2 linked regions of the Oreochromis niloticus genome follow. The protein of the gene in region 2 purifies or fractionates together with the protein of the main gene of each other region. This does not show direct contact. Links are inferred from orthologs where the notes say so. Each region holds a gene or a part of one and is shown on either strand. Other genes may lie near its edges.

Region 1 (7,685 bases), on a different chromosome or scaffold from region 2:
AGATCGCTTCAGTTTTAAAAGCGTTGTTTTTGGAACAACTTGCATTTACGTGGTTGCGGCTTAAGATGAACAAGCAGTAAGCTCGGGATACATCAGGGAGAAAACAATTTACATACCTCGGCTTCCCTTGGGGAGCAACAACGGAGAGTGAAAAAGTAGATTGGGGGGGGGTGCAACGTGAGAGTGCGCAGCTGAGAGGAAACTGCAAGAGACGGATTGCATGTGTGAGAAAGGAAGCATAAGCGAGGGAGCAAGCTAATAAGAAAAAGGCGAGGGGGGGTTGTCAGACGTGAGGAGTAGGAAATTAGCAGGGTTGCACTTGAGGAGGTGGTGAGAAGATGCCAAACAGTAGGGAGCGTCAAATGGGTACAGAGAAGGATCTCACATGTGATGCAAGTCAAAGAGGCGAGGGCAGGCACCCATCCTCTCCCCAAATGCCTCTCCATCTCAGCCTCTGTGTACTAATCTGATTTCCTGGATTATATTTCAGGATTTTAAAAAAAAGAAAAAAAAAGCCCCAAGTACTCAATTTTAATTCCATCAGTTTGTTTGGTGACTCACTGCTGCCGCATTTCATCATCCAACTTTGTTTTGCTCTTGTGTTGCAACACTCCATTTCTACTGCTGATTTTTAAAACCCTGCAGAGCTAAAGAAATATTTACTCGGGCGAGGGGAGCTAACAAGAAATGAAGGTTTGCCGCGGCTGATAAAAACTTAAGCACACGGGTCCCTCGTGTGAACGTAAACCTGAAATATGACTCTGCTGGATCAACACGGTGAACCTCACAGCCAGGGTTGATGGGGCTACAGGTAGCGCTCTGTTCCCCAGTATGGCTCATAAATGGCCTTCTTTGAGTGGTAAAGCTGTGCCAGACCTCTGCTGAAAATCTGTAACTCACAGTCATAAGAAGTCACGGGGTGCATAATATTCTTATGGACATTATTACTGGAAAAACAACTCCACTGAATCCCTTCTGGTCAAGTTCTGCATCTCCGGTGTAATGACTGCGTGTGTCCCAGTGCTTTTGCTTCTAGGCTACAATCTCGCCATGACACGATGACGCCAACATGCTTGCGGTTCCATCACAACAGGGACGTCTTTGGCGGCTAACGGGGCGTATAAACGAGCTCTCACTCTGCCAGAAGTTGCCCAGAGGAGCAGAGGGTCCGAACGCAGACAACAGCGCAGACCCAGGGCTGCACGATGACTGATGCGATGAGGACAGCGCCGAGACACGCCGAGCTGTCTGCTGTTGAGGTCTTTTTAGAACAGCTACAGATTGAAGTGAGGGAGGAATAATGAAACGGTGGTTACAAAAGTGGGATTCGTGGCATCAAATTGGTAGATTTTCTCATCTTCAGCACTGATTCCATCCGCCTCGTCTTATCTCACAGGTTTAAAAGCATTGTCAGGGAAGCATTATGGGACTGTTTCTCGTTTCACTGCAGGGAAAACACAGTGCGATGGATTTGAAGCTGCACATCGGAATCAAGTCACAGCGATCCTGTTACAGGAGGTTATTTCAGATTTAACATCCATTACATCCCTTTAGTCTATGGACTCTGAGTCTGTTTTTCACTGATTTCTACCTATTCGTCGTGTACTCTCAATCACAGCATGAGGTGTTGAGATAATAATCACTCCAATCCACACATATCTGCTTATGAATTTATAGAATCTGCAGACAAGAGACAAGATTTCAGTGCCAGAAGTTTTTCTTTTTTTGGGTTTGGCTGCAAACAGTAAATAATCTGTAGGGAGAACTAAAAAATAAATACATGCACCGGAAGAATCAAAGTCGCAAAATCATCAGCTATCCTTTGATTGGCATTTAGGCTTTTAATTACTTTGAGTAATGCATTTGGATTCGTTATTAAATTATGACCACCGCACACAACAGGAAGCTTTGGGCCCAATACGTCCAGATATCCGACGGCTACGCTGGAAGAACATTTGATATCATATTTTAATGAAATCAAAATTGATATACATCTCACATTAGCTGATCTACTCCACAGTCTTTCCTCGTAAGAGCAATTTGGAGACGAAATGCTTGGGAATGATGCACCCAGCCCCTGTGTTGTTTATCAACAATATTAATATACTTTCTGCTGTAATGAAGAAGAAGGGGAGCTACTTAGGGCCAAATCTTTGCAAACAGAGGTCTAATGTGGTCTAACGTCTTGTTTCTTTCCACAAGAGTAAGGCAGGAAAACAAAGCAGAAGGTTATTAAATCAGCAATGACGAAAAACTGATTAACTACTGTCTTTCTACCCAAAGAAATTGGATATCCAGCCAGTGCAAGGGGAGGAGTGACAACAGATTCTTCTTCTTCATTTTTTTTATTTTTTTTTTTGAGGGACAAGACTAATCAGAAGTTTGGGAAACAACACTCATTAAAACGCATTGATTTGACAGGGGAGGTCAGGTGAAAACACACCGGAAGTGAAAAGAGAGAAGTGAAGGAGACAGCTTTAAAGGGTGTGAGTGAAGCTCATGTTGGTATCGCAGGTTCTGATTCGTTTTGAGGATAGCAGAGAGCTTCTGCATGCATCAGAGGCTGTCCGGCTTCTTCTCTCCCTCCTCTCGCCTAATCACAGGCCCGCGGTGTGGCCAGCGTGCAGGGCTGGAGTTACACACCGCGCACAATTAAAGCAGCTCTTTAATTAAGGGGGGGGGGAGACGTACAGCTTTTTCCTTCTTCTTCCTTTTTTTCTGCATTTAGCCATCAGCAGCATGCACTTCCATCACACAAGCCGGGCAAAGCAGAGACCTCGGCTGCTTCTTAGCTGTATATCTGCCGCAAACACGCAACTTGCAGCGTTGCTGTGCACTTGTTTCAAAAAAGGGGAAAAACAAGAAACTAAACCGAGGACAAAGCCTGGATTTGCTGGCACTTTCATTTATGCATCGCAGTTCAACATGCATGTTTGCGAGAGAGAGAGGGAGCAGTGATGCTTAAAAAAAAATCCAAAAAAAAAATCAGAAAGAGCATGTCAATAAAAGAACAGCGCCCGGAGCCGCTGTGAGGCCACCGAAAACAAAGTAGCGACAGGCAGGAGGAGAGAGCCGTGAGCGCAGGAACACTCGCTGCCTCGCTCCGGCGTAACGCACAGAGACTCGGGCATGCCGTGGCGAGAGCGCAGCGAACACACAAAAACACTGCGAGCCACCCCCCAGGAACATTTAGCGCCACAACGCGAAGGAAGTGAGACGGAATTTCAGCAACATCAACATTTCTGCAGGAAGAGGGAAACGAGGCTTTCACCAACCTGACGACGCGAGGACGCTTCTTCCACTAAAAGGCGCCGATGTCCGGAGTTGTGTGTGTGTTGTGAGTGAGAGAGAGAGAGTGTGTGTGAGAGCGTGTCACTCACTGGTGTTTCCTCTCCTTCTCTCTCTCTCTCTCTCTCTCTCCTCTGCCGTAGAGATAGTGCTGATGTTTCCACTTCCTCTTTTCTTCTGCCGTCTGCTGGCTGGCTTGTGTTGCCAAACAGAGGATGCACGAATGCATGACAGCAGCAAAACTCAAGCAGCCGCTGGTGAACAGGAGGAAGGGGACTTTTTGGTAATTATTTATTTTTCTACAGGATGGAAAATCGTTATTTTACTATTTTAGCCATAAAGCTTAGCTCGGTTTGGTTAATAACAGTTTTAAGTGCAGTGCCAACATACAGAAAGGGAAATGAAAACTTTATTCTTGTTTTACAGAGTATTTCTGAGAGGAAACCTTCACTCTGTAAAAGTAATCCTCTCCTCATTTTCCCTCTGTCAATTTATTTAACTAAACATGTAGTGAGGGAGCGTGTGGTGACAGTGGTGTGTATGGGTGTGTGTAGGTGTATGTTGGATAAGGATGCAAGAGCAAAATCACCTAACAGGAATATCAGGATCACAGAAAACTGGAAGCTGAAGAAGCAGGAAGCACCTTTTCTTATGAGGCCTTCAAAATATGTGCTATAAAGATTAATTTATCATCCCCAAAGCATTTGATATCAGCGTTGGATTAGGTTAATTGCAAGATAAGCAAGAAGATGACCATCCCAGTTTGATTTTTGTTCATCGGTTATAACATTCTTGCACAGTAAAGCACACTTTCCAAGAAAATGAAAACAAATGGTGTGTATTTGATGTATTTTCTTCTTCTCTAATTTATATTTGTTACTGTTTGTTTATACTCCTAGATGCAGGGCAATCAAAAATGACATTAAAACCCAATATGGATCATGTGTAAAGGCATATGTGTAGGCTATCTGGAAGTTATTAAAAAGAGTAAAAAACAGGCTGGAAGAAAACACTGATTAGAGAAGAAAAGAGCAGAACACAATAGTCTGTGTTACATCATATACTTAAATGTTACTTCATGCTCTTGCTGATTTTCCCTGATGTCTTTAGTAACTACGATCCTTAAAAAAACACATCATTCTTGATAAAGAAGGGACTGTCTCCTCAAGAGGACTAAATGTACTTTGCAGTTCATCATTAATGACTTTGCACAGAGAATTTACAAGGCTGAAAATAAATACACGCTTATGTTTCGGCTGAGAATAATTTAGGAAAAAATGAAATATTAGAAAGGACTTCTGCCTCCCCGAGTGAGCCTACACCAACATGACAAATGGTGGGCCTGCTACGGCAACGACTGAACAGATTATACCTGACAAACAACTCAAATCCGAAGGAGACGTCTATTTTTTTTTCACAGTAACTGATGAAACAAAAGCAGATCGGCCTTCAGTCTCTCGGGAAAGGAAAGGCAAACGGGAACAGTGCTTTCAATAATTCATGGTTATTGAATGTCCTCCTGTTTGGAGGGTGGGATTATGACCTTCTAGTGTTACTTTATGTCTGGGAGCATAATGTTACAGGCACTCTGTAAAGACTGCAGCATCTCCGAGCCACGGCGTCCCTTTAATTTTGATCGTTAATTACCTGCTGTGCTTGGTACCAGAATGAGTGGCATTTGTGGCTGAAAGAGAAAAAGAGCGTGTGGCAGGCAGCTCTGCAGCTCGTCCTCGTCTCCACTCAGCGGGAGCAGCAGCAGGAGGATTAATACAGGAGCCCTGTTCGTCCTGGCAAACAATCTGGAGCGACACACCCAACAGAAATCTCTTAGTCCCTCATTCTGTTTATTTTTCTCTCTGCGAAAAACACAGGATGCAAAACTCGGCCCGTTTAAATGGCAGCCCGCGTCCTCGACTTCACACCCAATCTGACTCCATAAATAGGCTGCGAGGACAGGCACACCTGACCCAAAAATATAAGAGGAAGAAAACAGATATTTTTATGTGTTTTTCAAGATGCGTCAACACATTTTGTTTTTCTGTGCAAGCATACAGATTTGACTCCGATAATAAATCTTTGTTTGACCTATGAATGCTGCGTGAGCACACTCAGCATGCTTGATATGGTATGTAATATATTATAAACAGCACTTACTGCTGCTTTTCTTTTGGGGAAGCAAACAAAAGCATTCTTTTATCCCTCTGAGTTATTTGCGTCATTCGGTCACTGTGACCTTTGGATCCCCGACTCTAACTTGAGAGGGCTCAAGAGCAAATCGAAGGGCTCAGAGATGAGGTCATATTTTCATCTTCTATTTCGCCATATAGCTTTAAGACAGCCCACACTCCTAAAAAAGCATTGCATGATGCATTCAATCAAGTGGAGACTCACAGTGCAAGCCGGTAAAACTGCAGAGTCACTCTCATTTCTGGTGTTGCACTCAGAAGGTAAGCACTGGACTGATTTCTTTTTATAGATGTCAGTTGTCACTTGTGTAACTCGCTCTGATTTGGACACATCCTGTTTCACAAACAGTGGGCCAACCTCCATTCATCTGCGTGTCTGGTGTGAAACTTTAATGTCATATCAGATAACACTATCAAAACAGAGGGAAGCCTTGGTGCTGCTTAATTTTCCCTTTTGGCAAACATGGTTATTATTCATGAGTTAAGTGCAGCAGCTCTGCTCATAAAGGTTTAATTGTCTACTTTTCTTTTTTTCCTCCCATATTTTGGAAAACAAATCCAGACCATACGTATCTGAAGAGCTGCATGTTTTTGCTTCAGATTTGATTGTTAACAGAAGACTGGTGTTCAGCAGAGAACGTCAAAATCAGATTTTACCTGCCTAAACACGATGCTCTTACCTTTAGACTTGTCTTCATTCAAGCTGAGATCAAGTGATTAAACGGGCCACGATTTAGGATCATCGTTTAATAACGAAGCGTTGTCCGCTGGGTTTCAGTGCATTTAGCTTAATTAGACCACCCTGTTACATTCAGCAATAGACCAACAATAACAATAGATGGCAGCGTGCCAGTTCCTTTGGCAAGCCATACATGCTCAAACAGAAGCACCACCGAGTCTGATGATGAATGGGTGTTTCGGCTAGTGAGTCGTTCCTTGTTCTCTTCAGTTCGCTCTATCCATGATTTTTTTTTTTTTTTTTTTTGACAGATTCATGTTTTCTTTCAGCATCCCACAGAAATTGGATTCAAAATGATGCAGGGCTTCTTTTGTAATTGTGAGTCCTCCGAGGCTTCGAGGTCTTCGCTTGATCGTTGACAAGGACTCATGACATACTGCAGACATAAAAGAGGGGTTTCTTAAACACACAAATCCACTCATCCAGATAACTTGTATTCCACTGTATAACAGCTGGTTTTCTATTTTATTATTTTCATGTGTTCACCTGCTTTTTAATAATAATAATGTATACTTTATTGATCCCCGTGGGGAAATTCCTCTCTGCATTTAACCCATTCACTCAGTGAAGCAGTGGGCAGCCATTGGGCGGCCAGTGTGGAGGGACGGTACCTTCCTCAGGGTAGCCGTTCAGTGGATTCAAACCCCCGACCTTCCGATCACGGGGCCACCACTCTACCTACTGAGCTATCCCTGCCCCTTGTTGTTTTTAAATTAACCCAGCTGCCTATTTTGGGGGAAATAACAACCTTTAATGTCTAGAAATACATTATTAACTTCAAATTACAAGTTGAATCCACACACAGCTAACCTAAAGTCTTACCAGGTTGAACTCCCTTTTCCCTTTAGGAGTGCTTGAATTCTTCTTAGCATAAATTCAACAAGGTGCCGACGGATGACAGCATCACACATTTGGTCAATTGCCTGTTACCAGTGTTGGGACTAACGCGTTATTAAGTAACGCGTTACAGTAACTACGTTATTATTGTGGTAACGAGCACGGTAACTAGTTATTATGCCAAAACCAGGAACGCGTTACTCGTTACTGGGATTTAGATAGGCTCGTTACTTCGTGTGGTGGATATCGCGGAGCTTCCACAGATTCAATAACATTAGCAAGTGGTGGAGGCCAGCAGGTGGATGAAGGAAAAGGGAGGCAAGAGGAGAGACCCGTGTCAGGTGAACTGAGCTTCAGGTAAGAAGTTATGACCTGCAGTCTATCGGAGTCAGATATAAACCAAGTTTAGGTGGAGTTTATTTTCGGTATGCTGACATTTTCGTACTGCGTGCTAGCTAGCATGACGGAGTTTCTATACAGCTGGGTGGGTGCGATGTTACTGATGTTGAACTTTATTTTGTTCTTACGGTTAATTATTAGAGTTGCCAACCGTCCCCTAAAAAACAGAATCGTCTGGTATTCAGAGAAAATATTACGCGTTTCGTACTGAGGTGAAAAGGAACACAGTTTGTCCC
Region 2 (8,310 bases):
CGTAACTGCCGCAAATTTCTTTGTTACGCCCTAAAAGGGATTCCGATGTTAAACATTAGTTCTGCATGACCTTTCTGCCAGGTAACTTGCGCCCCACCTTCAAGAACTCTGCGCCACACACTTAGAGAACCACTGGTCTAGGAGTACTGATTTTTTTCTGTCAATGTTTGGTACATTTAAAAGAGTGGGGAAAGGCGTCCTTACATTCTTAAGATGATATGATGATGATATTGTGCTCTTGAGTAATTTAAAAGAAATGAAGTAGCCACTGTGAGATCATCCACTGGTTTGTGAAGTTTTTTTTAGCTGTTGGCATTTTAGCTTTTCCAAAAGAGATGTTATGTGAGGTGGATTTTAATCTGTCTGCACTTTGATAGAGTAGTTCAATTCAGTTTGATTTATATCACAACAGGAGTCCCCTCAAGGTACTTTATATTGTAAGGTAAAGACAATAATAGAGAGAAAATCCCAACAATCAAGCGACCCCCTTTGAGCAAGCACTTGGTGAAAGTGGGAAAGAGGAACTCCCTTTTAACAGGAAGAAAAGTCGGGCAGAATCAGGCTCAGGGAGGGGCAGCCACCTGCTGGGACGGGTTGGGGGGCAATGGGAGAAAGATGAAAAGAGAGCCAGAGATTAATTTTAACTAATGATTTAAGTGAGCTGTCAACAACAAGGAAGACCTGCTCTTTATTGTCCTTCTGGATGCTAATGGTGGCCATAATGTACAAAATGTGTATCATGTTATATTTAGTAAGATTTCAAACTAATAAATGACACCATAAGCTCAACGGGAATATGTTTACTGAGAAGATGAATCAAAGGGGGAAGTGGTCTGTTTTCCCCATAAACTTCCCAGATTTGCCTTCAGTGGCCATTAGAAAGGATCCATGTTTAAAGCACCTCCACAGTTGCTTATGTATTCCGTCAAAGAAGCTATGTCTATTTTTGTATACTGACTAAGACCTGCACGGTAAATATGATGCTAACACAGCGTCCAACTTCTAGCTAACAGGTTTTCTCAGAAAGACTGAAAAAGGAAAAGCTATAGCTAGTCCGTGTCTCTCCGACAATATCAGGCTAGCTGATTCCTCTGGTTTTCAGTCTAACTGGCACCAAAGTTAGTCAACCAACAGCCATGAGAGTATCTATTTTCCTAAATAAAGCACATCTCCCTTAAAGTTTTAAGTTTTAACCACAATCATTCAGAGCTTTTTTTTTTCAAGTGGAAACAACTGAAAATATAAACAGCCTCATTTTTCTCAGTCAGGAGTCACTAGGGATCTGCTTAATGCATCAGTTCAGTCAGATCTCTACAGCCCAGCAACTTATCAATTCAAAGCCATATTATCAGATCACTGGGTGATGCTCCTATTGAATTATTTCTGTACATTGACTTGCTTCTCTCTCTGGGCACAGAGCACATAGCTCCAAATGAGTCGTAAACCTTTTGAGAATGCACTGAGTTCCTGCAGAGTAAGCTGTTTTCAAAGGATGCCAGAGCGCTGCCTTCTTCCTGGGTAACAGAGACTTGACTACAAATGGCTCTCTGTGGCACTCTGTGTGTTTTACTCTACGGTGCCTGCCACAAAGCACCGTCACCTCCATTGCAAAACACTTAGCTTCAGACTCCATGAGCATACACAACACTAACATGCAAAAATCACACAATTCAAGATGATGCCAATGCCAAATCCAAGCTAAATCTTTGCCAGTGCTTGTTTTAAAATTGTGTTACTCTAACTGGTTTTCCAGAAAGGTGAAGAGTGCAACTGTTCAATTTCTCTACATTCTTCAGTCCTCACTAATTTAACTGCAGATAAAAGAATTTCATAAAATATTCTATTGCCAAACTTTTTTTTTATTTTTATTTGTACCAGGTGTTATGTGTCTTACATGGCTGGGAGCATGATCCAAAAATTGGTTTTGGTTGCAAGTGTCTGCCACCATCATCACTCTTCTTTGGATTGGCAGCCATCCAATTTTGACTGGAGAAAGATAACTAAGTTCGGCTTGTTCCTTTTCTGGAGCCTGCATGATATGGGCTCTCTCCCAGCTTCCTCTGCGCTCCGGAGGTGAAAAAACCCCAGTCTGGAGGGACTCCTGGCTGCCCAACGAGCTGTCACATAGGCTTGAACTCTCACATGAAGATGAGACCCTGCTGAAAGAGGGAAAACCCGTGTGTCTCCAAGCACGTCCAGTTGGCTCTTTGTTCAGAACAGGCATGGATGTTGTTCGGTCATTGAACCCTCGAGCCTGATTATGAGCTGGGGCTTTAAGTGTGCTCTGCATAGCCTGCAGGTGCTCTAGCCAGCTGTCCAGCTGGCCACCTTCAATGGCGCTCTGGGGCCGCGGTGCACGTGGTGGATGAGAAACAGCGGGCCCTTCTGACATCAAGCTCTCCCAGTAGGACTCATCTCCTGATCTCCTCCAGCCTGGAGTCCTCCTTAGGTGGGCAGCTGGCCTACGGAGAGTCATCCCTGTGGAGCTTAGGTTACCACTCACAGCTCTCAAGTTTCAGCTCCTCAATAAAAGCCGTTTACTGTGGAGGTATTAATGAGAAACTCCTGGCTCAAGCCGACTTCTTGACAAGAGTCATCCTAGAAATGCACTGCAAGGAATCAGCAGTTACAGTAATGATCAAGGTCATCTTTGTCACAGTTCCTGTTTTGAGAACATATGAGAACAAAGTTCAGAATTAGAGTTTCAGATATGTTATTTTAGGTTATAAGACTCACAACAGTTATTATCAATTTCATTCCGTGATGGTGGTGTTACTCACCAGTTAATGACGTACAGTCCTTTTTCACTTGAATCCAGTTCTTCTCACTCTTTAGTGTTTAGGAAGTAAACACTGCCTGTGTTGATATAAAGTAGGTGGTAGCGGGTACTGTCTCCAGCCAAGCAGCAAGTAGCAGTATAAGGGAAGGTTTGGAGGACAAAAGAGTTACTGAGCACAAGGGCTCAACATCCAATACACAGAGGAAGATGGGAAGAGACAGAGGGAGAGGCGGGCCGAAAAACAAACACTTGTTGATGTGATGCCTGACGTAACAAGAGCTCCATTTAAACAAAGAACATAGTCAACATTCATCATGTAGGGATTAAACTATCTAATTTTAGGTTACGGCAAGCCAAATACAGTATTCAATATTTTAAAAGGCAAGTCAAACTTCCTGACATTCAAGAGTCCTTTCAAATGATAGAGCATCACTAATGAGCAGATTATCCATGTTAATCCACGACTCACTTACTGCTTTGGTAAATCCTCTTTGTTCAGTTCCCCCTGTTTCGTCTCTTCTCTGTGATCTCGTGGTTGGTGGCTGATGATGAGGCATTGCTATCCTCAAGCTTCTATCCAAGCCATGTGACTTTAGCAAGACTGTCTTAAAATGGGCCAGTGTTTCTCGGGTAAGTAACTGTGACCCACATGATGTCATGCAATGCAAGAGAGAAGGATATTTACAAGGTGGGAAAACTTGCTGGGAGAAGGATTTTGCTTCAGATTTTATTCAGGGGCATCTTTAATCTTTAAATGCAGATCTGCAAAGATACAACTTCTTCCAACAACAAAAGAAAAAGAAAACTGGCGCCTGCTTTGATAATAATGAATTTCACTGTCCTCGGTGGATTACCAGTCCCTACATGGCTTTCAAAACAACTTCAGTATCACTGGGTGGAATTACATTTTCCAAATGTAAAAAAAAGACAAAGATAAGACAGAGGTGTCCTGTCTATCATTTGCAGTGACCTGCTTTAAGGGAACGTTTTTAAGCTGAGAAGCTGCATGTAGAATGAAAATGCAGTGATTTGAAACAATTTGCATAATTTTGTCCGCTCAGCCTGGGAGATAATACGTAAACAAATAGAAAAACTCAACTGAGTAAAGACAGAATTTGACCAGATAGACGAAAGGTAACTTCTTTCCTAGGCGAAGAAGTCTGAAAGCGGCAGCCCCCTCTGCTGGCACAACTTTAATATGACAACCTGGAGAGGAGGGAGAAAGGAAAGGGGATGGAAAAGAGTGTTTGTGGGATGGTGAACGGTGGGGGGCACGGTCTTAATAAGTTGAGAGACTTGTGCATCTAAGAGTAGGATGCATCAGTTGTGCAGAAAAGATAAATAAAGCCGAGCAGGTTCGAGCGTGTGAAGCAGGTGCATCACTTCTGTATCATCTGTTTAGCACCCGCAGCTTTAAGGGGCCATTTCTGCTGCTTGAATCAGCGCATTGCTGCTCAGAAATATCACGGTCGCCTTTATCATTAAGCGCCAGCAAGGAAGGAAATGAACGCTGACCGCATGTATTTTAAACCTGTGGTCGAGTCAATCAGATGAGTATAGTGTGTGTATCTGTGAACGCGTTTTACCTTAACACCATGCACTCTGAGGTAAAAAAAAAAGAAAAAAGAAAAAGTCTCCAACGCTACAGTCAACTAACTAACGTTAGGACTGAAACATGTTTAATTTGTGAGTTTATTTTATTTTTTCTCTCTAAAGCACATGAAGCACTTATTTAAACCCGACCCAAATGGATGTTACTATCACTATTAGTGATATTAATATTAAGTTTAGTCTTCTGTAGTTATCATCGCATTTATTAATTCAATCCCCTGCTGCTAAATCTGATTTTCTTATAACATTTGCATATACTAGTCTTTAGATAGCTTTTTAGAATGTTGCATTACATAATTAGCATATTTTTATATTAACATAAACGTTGTAGCCACCTTATGTGGATATTGAAACAAAATAACTAAAAAAATTAACATCAACCTTGAATTATAACTGCTTTATGACATAATGATATTTCTACGCCCTTGCAGATTAACCTGCAATCATCTAATCAGTCATGCAGCTCAGTGTGTAGCAGCGTCCGTCACAGCACGACCAGCGCTGCGAGTTTCGCAGGACGCCTGCAGGGTGAAAAAGTTGTGTTCCCTTCCTCCCCCTTGCGGAGCGTCCTGTCACTGGTGGAAAATGGCTGCTCGGAGTAACTCCCCAAAGCTCAGAGAAAACTGAAAAAAAAAAAGTCTACATTAATAACAAGAGGTCACATCTGGACCTTTTTTAACAGGCAGAGCGACAACTCGGGGAAGCCTCGACACTGAGAATGTCTCGCTGGGTGCCCACTAAAAAGGAAAAGTATGGAGTTGGTACGTAAGAAAACTTGCATGCTCCATCGCTAGCTCGCCCTAGCTCTCTGCTCTCAGATTGAACAAGTTAGGGAAGATTTGTGATTAGAAAGCGAACGACTGAGTTTTTCCCATCCGTGGGGCTGTACGCGGGATCCCGTGGTCATATTTGACAAAAGCTAGTGGAATGCAAATATTACGAGTGGGGAATGTGCCAGCTGGTTTGCATGAAATGCAGAACAAGGATTGTCTTGTCTTTTGTGAGGAAGAGGACTGTGTGTGTGTGTGGATTGGGAATTGTTAGAGGCGCGCCTAGTACAGCGGTGTTTCCTGTGTTATGGGGCCTCCGCTACAAACTAACTAGCTAGTTTCAGGCTACGCTGGACTTGTAACTCTGAAGTTTGATGCTTGCTTTTGTGTTTTTTTTTTACTGTTTTCGTCTTCTGTACCAGGGAAAGCCTTCCCTGTTGGTTGCTTATTGTCAGCTCATCTAAGAGTTTGAAACCTGGCTGGAGAGCATTGTGCCGTTTAGCTTCCACCATCTCCTTTAGGGGGGATTTATTCAACAGTATCGAACCTCGTCGCAAAAAGTAACTGTAACTAGTATGAATGATATGTCGAAGAACTCAGCTTTAAAGGGAAACTGCTATAAGGGCAGCGTTTGCTATGTTTTCCTGTAGGAAAAAGACTTGATCAGATACATCCAGGGGATGTTAGAATTATATTACTGTTAATTTTTTGTCTTTGTTTACCAGGTTTACCATGCTTTACGCACTAATATTCAGCCTTTAAAAATGACACTAATTGCACAAACCACATCTTTCCACATGTTTACTTTTTGGCTCTAGATACATTTGAATAATAACTATCCAGGTGTGTGATATAAAAAAAGAAGTGCTTTGAAATTTCTTTGGTAATTCCACTTGACTGTGGGATGGAACAGGGAACAATAAAAATAAAAAACCACCATGAGGAAGTTGAGGTCAGATGAAATCTGTAATGCACAGAATATAAGAAAAGAGTCGCATGACTTGTTGAGTTTTGATGGATTAAAGTTGCTCATTGCGCCACTGGATAGATTTTTTTTAGGGATCTTTCATTTTAGCCTTTATTTGTAAGGACAGTGGAGAGAAGATGGGGAAGCTGGAAGAAAAACCAGGGGGAAGATGCGTTGTAAATGTCCTTGGGGCGATTTTGAACCCAGGCCTTGCATTTGGGCTGCCTGGGCTTGCCCAGTGAGCCAAACCACTGCCCCAGTTTGTTATTTTTAATGTTCCACAACATACTGAGTTACTTTTTGGCTATGTCCATTAGTGGGACTGAGGGCTTGCAGCTGTATGAGGGTTGCCGAAGCTGACTGATGGATGAGTTCAGCCGGTTACGTGAAAGCACAGGTTTTTGGTCCGTTTCATGGCGATTGAAGTGTGACAAGTTTACAGTTCTGATGCTACTGCTTGTCCGTTTAGTCACAAATATGCAACGGTTCTTGAAAGTTGAGATTCTTCAAAAGCCATGGAGAAAATTCTTTCAGGGTTCAGTGAATGCAAGAGTGGATGAGTCATTAGTAAAAAGAGAAGCAGCTGCCACCTCACTGCTGCACAGTATTGGTTGGGTGCACAGCCATTGCACTTTTAATACTTTATGTGTTGACCAAGTAGCACTAATGAGCAGTCGGTGAGACACCTTATGCTAGCAGCACTCACTGAGGACCTATTTCTGTTTCAGCAAAACTTTTTTTTTTCACACCATTTACTACTCTCATAATGGTCCCACTGCTTTGTTTGTGTATGTGGAAAAAGTGTCTCCTTTTGTCTTCTCACAGCAGCATTAATAATGAATGGCACTGTCTTCTTGCATAGAGCATAGCAGTGATTACGCATGTTTTTGTCCTCATACTGGTGTATTCACATTACAGTATTTGTGCAAGCAAGTCTTTGTATAAAGCCATGTTAGATTTGTGTCAATAATAACCAGAAACAAAATAAATCTTTGTTTTTCTTATTTGTTTTTGTTTTTCTGTGTCATATTGCGTAGCTCTCTGCTCATTGTTATGCTTCACTATGTGGAAAGCGAAGCACTTCAAACCTTGAACAAAACCAGAGGAGCTTTTTAGTAAACTAGCCTTTTTTTGTTGAATGTAAAGCTTAGTAATATATTAGTAATATATCCCTGTTGGGTAATGATAACGTGCAGGTTTCTTAAATTTTATTGCAGTATGGCTGTAATCTCAGGATCAGCTGGTCAGTTGTTTGGGCAGCACACTCTTATCTTCTTCTAAGTAACACAATAACAAGTGTTGCTTTGGTGAAGAAAGAAAGTGCTACATCAGTAGCTTTACAAGATTGGTCCATGGTTATTGTCAACAAAGGGGAACAGATGATTTGCGTTAGGGTGGAGGCTTATAGTGTGACCATATCTGAAGTGGCATATTTCGATGTGCTTGTTCCAAGAATAGTTTATCTTGGCAATCTCCAGAGTCTGTCTGCAGCAGCAGCAGCTACACCCACACCAAACTGGATGTGAAGGTGTTTTTGAAAACTGAAAAAATGATTGTAAAACAAATCTAATGTCCAATGCTCAAGATATTAAGACCATTAGCAGAAAGGTGAATCATTCTTCATGACCATACATTAATCATTTATATACTGCAAACACTAACTTTTTATGCCAGTTTATTATTTAGATGGAGTGCACTCTTTAAAGGTTACATTGTTAAGACATTAAATTACAGAACATTCAAAAGTCAGTCTTTAAAATGTTAATTTCACAAGATAAAGTTAGACTACACCTTTATGTGGTTCGAATTATAAAGCTGATCTCTGTTAATAAGGTGAATGTTTGCTTGCAGAGGTTCCAGGTTACTGTCTGAGGGCACTAACATGTCCTCTTAAAGGGATCGTGGACTTAAGCGTTCCTGCCAAACATATGTAACTAATGTAGTGAGCAGGGAGCAGCTTTGTAAGCCATAATGTATGTTTATGACTGAGTGCCTTCACTTCCTGTGATTTTTCCTTTGAGTATTCACATTGTACTAACCTGCCAAACAAAACTTCTATTTCTCACCTGACCTTTAATTGACTAATGGAATCATTTGGAAATAAAAAAGGGAGGTGTGGCTCAATTTCCTGTGGCAGGTTTAGTGGCCTCAGAGTGAAGGAGTTTATCCCTTTAAGTTTTATT

What was found. Proteins that work in one complex are often made in the same cells at the same time.
Region 1: the proteins of dock1 (region 2) and elmo1 purify together in Homo sapiens (affinity purification with western blotting; 12 studies listed by BioGRID and IntAct, counting the BioPlex papers as one, with this or other methods). This does not show direct contact. The link is inferred for Oreochromis niloticus from reciprocal best matches to the Homo sapiens genes DOCK1 and ELMO1.

What each region holds. Positions count from the first base shown.
Region 1 is NC_031985.2:22,706,388-22,714,072, forward strand, and holds the start of elmo1 (engulfment and cell motility protein 1), read right to left. Parts: upstream 3,403-7,685; 5' UTR 3,276-3,402; intron 1-3,275. UniProt on the Homo sapiens protein: Involved in cytoskeletal rearrangements required for phagocytosis of apoptotic cells and cell motility. Acts in association with DOCK1 and CRK. Was initially proposed to be required in complex with DOCK1 to activate Rac Rho small GTPases.
Region 2 is NC_031973.2:11,208,978-11,217,287, reverse strand, and holds the start of dock1 (dedicator of cytokinesis protein 1), read left to right. Parts: upstream 1-4,886; 5' UTR 4,887-5,108; coding exon 5,109-5,151; intron 5,152-8,310. Other genes in the region: lg8h10orf90 ((E2-independent) E3 ubiquitin-conjugating enzyme FATS), read right to left, coding at 1,895-2,476. UniProt on the Homo sapiens protein: Involved in cytoskeletal rearrangements required for phagocytosis of apoptotic cells and cell motility. Along with DOCK1, mediates CRK/CRKL regulation of epithelial and endothelial cell spreading and migration on type IV collagen.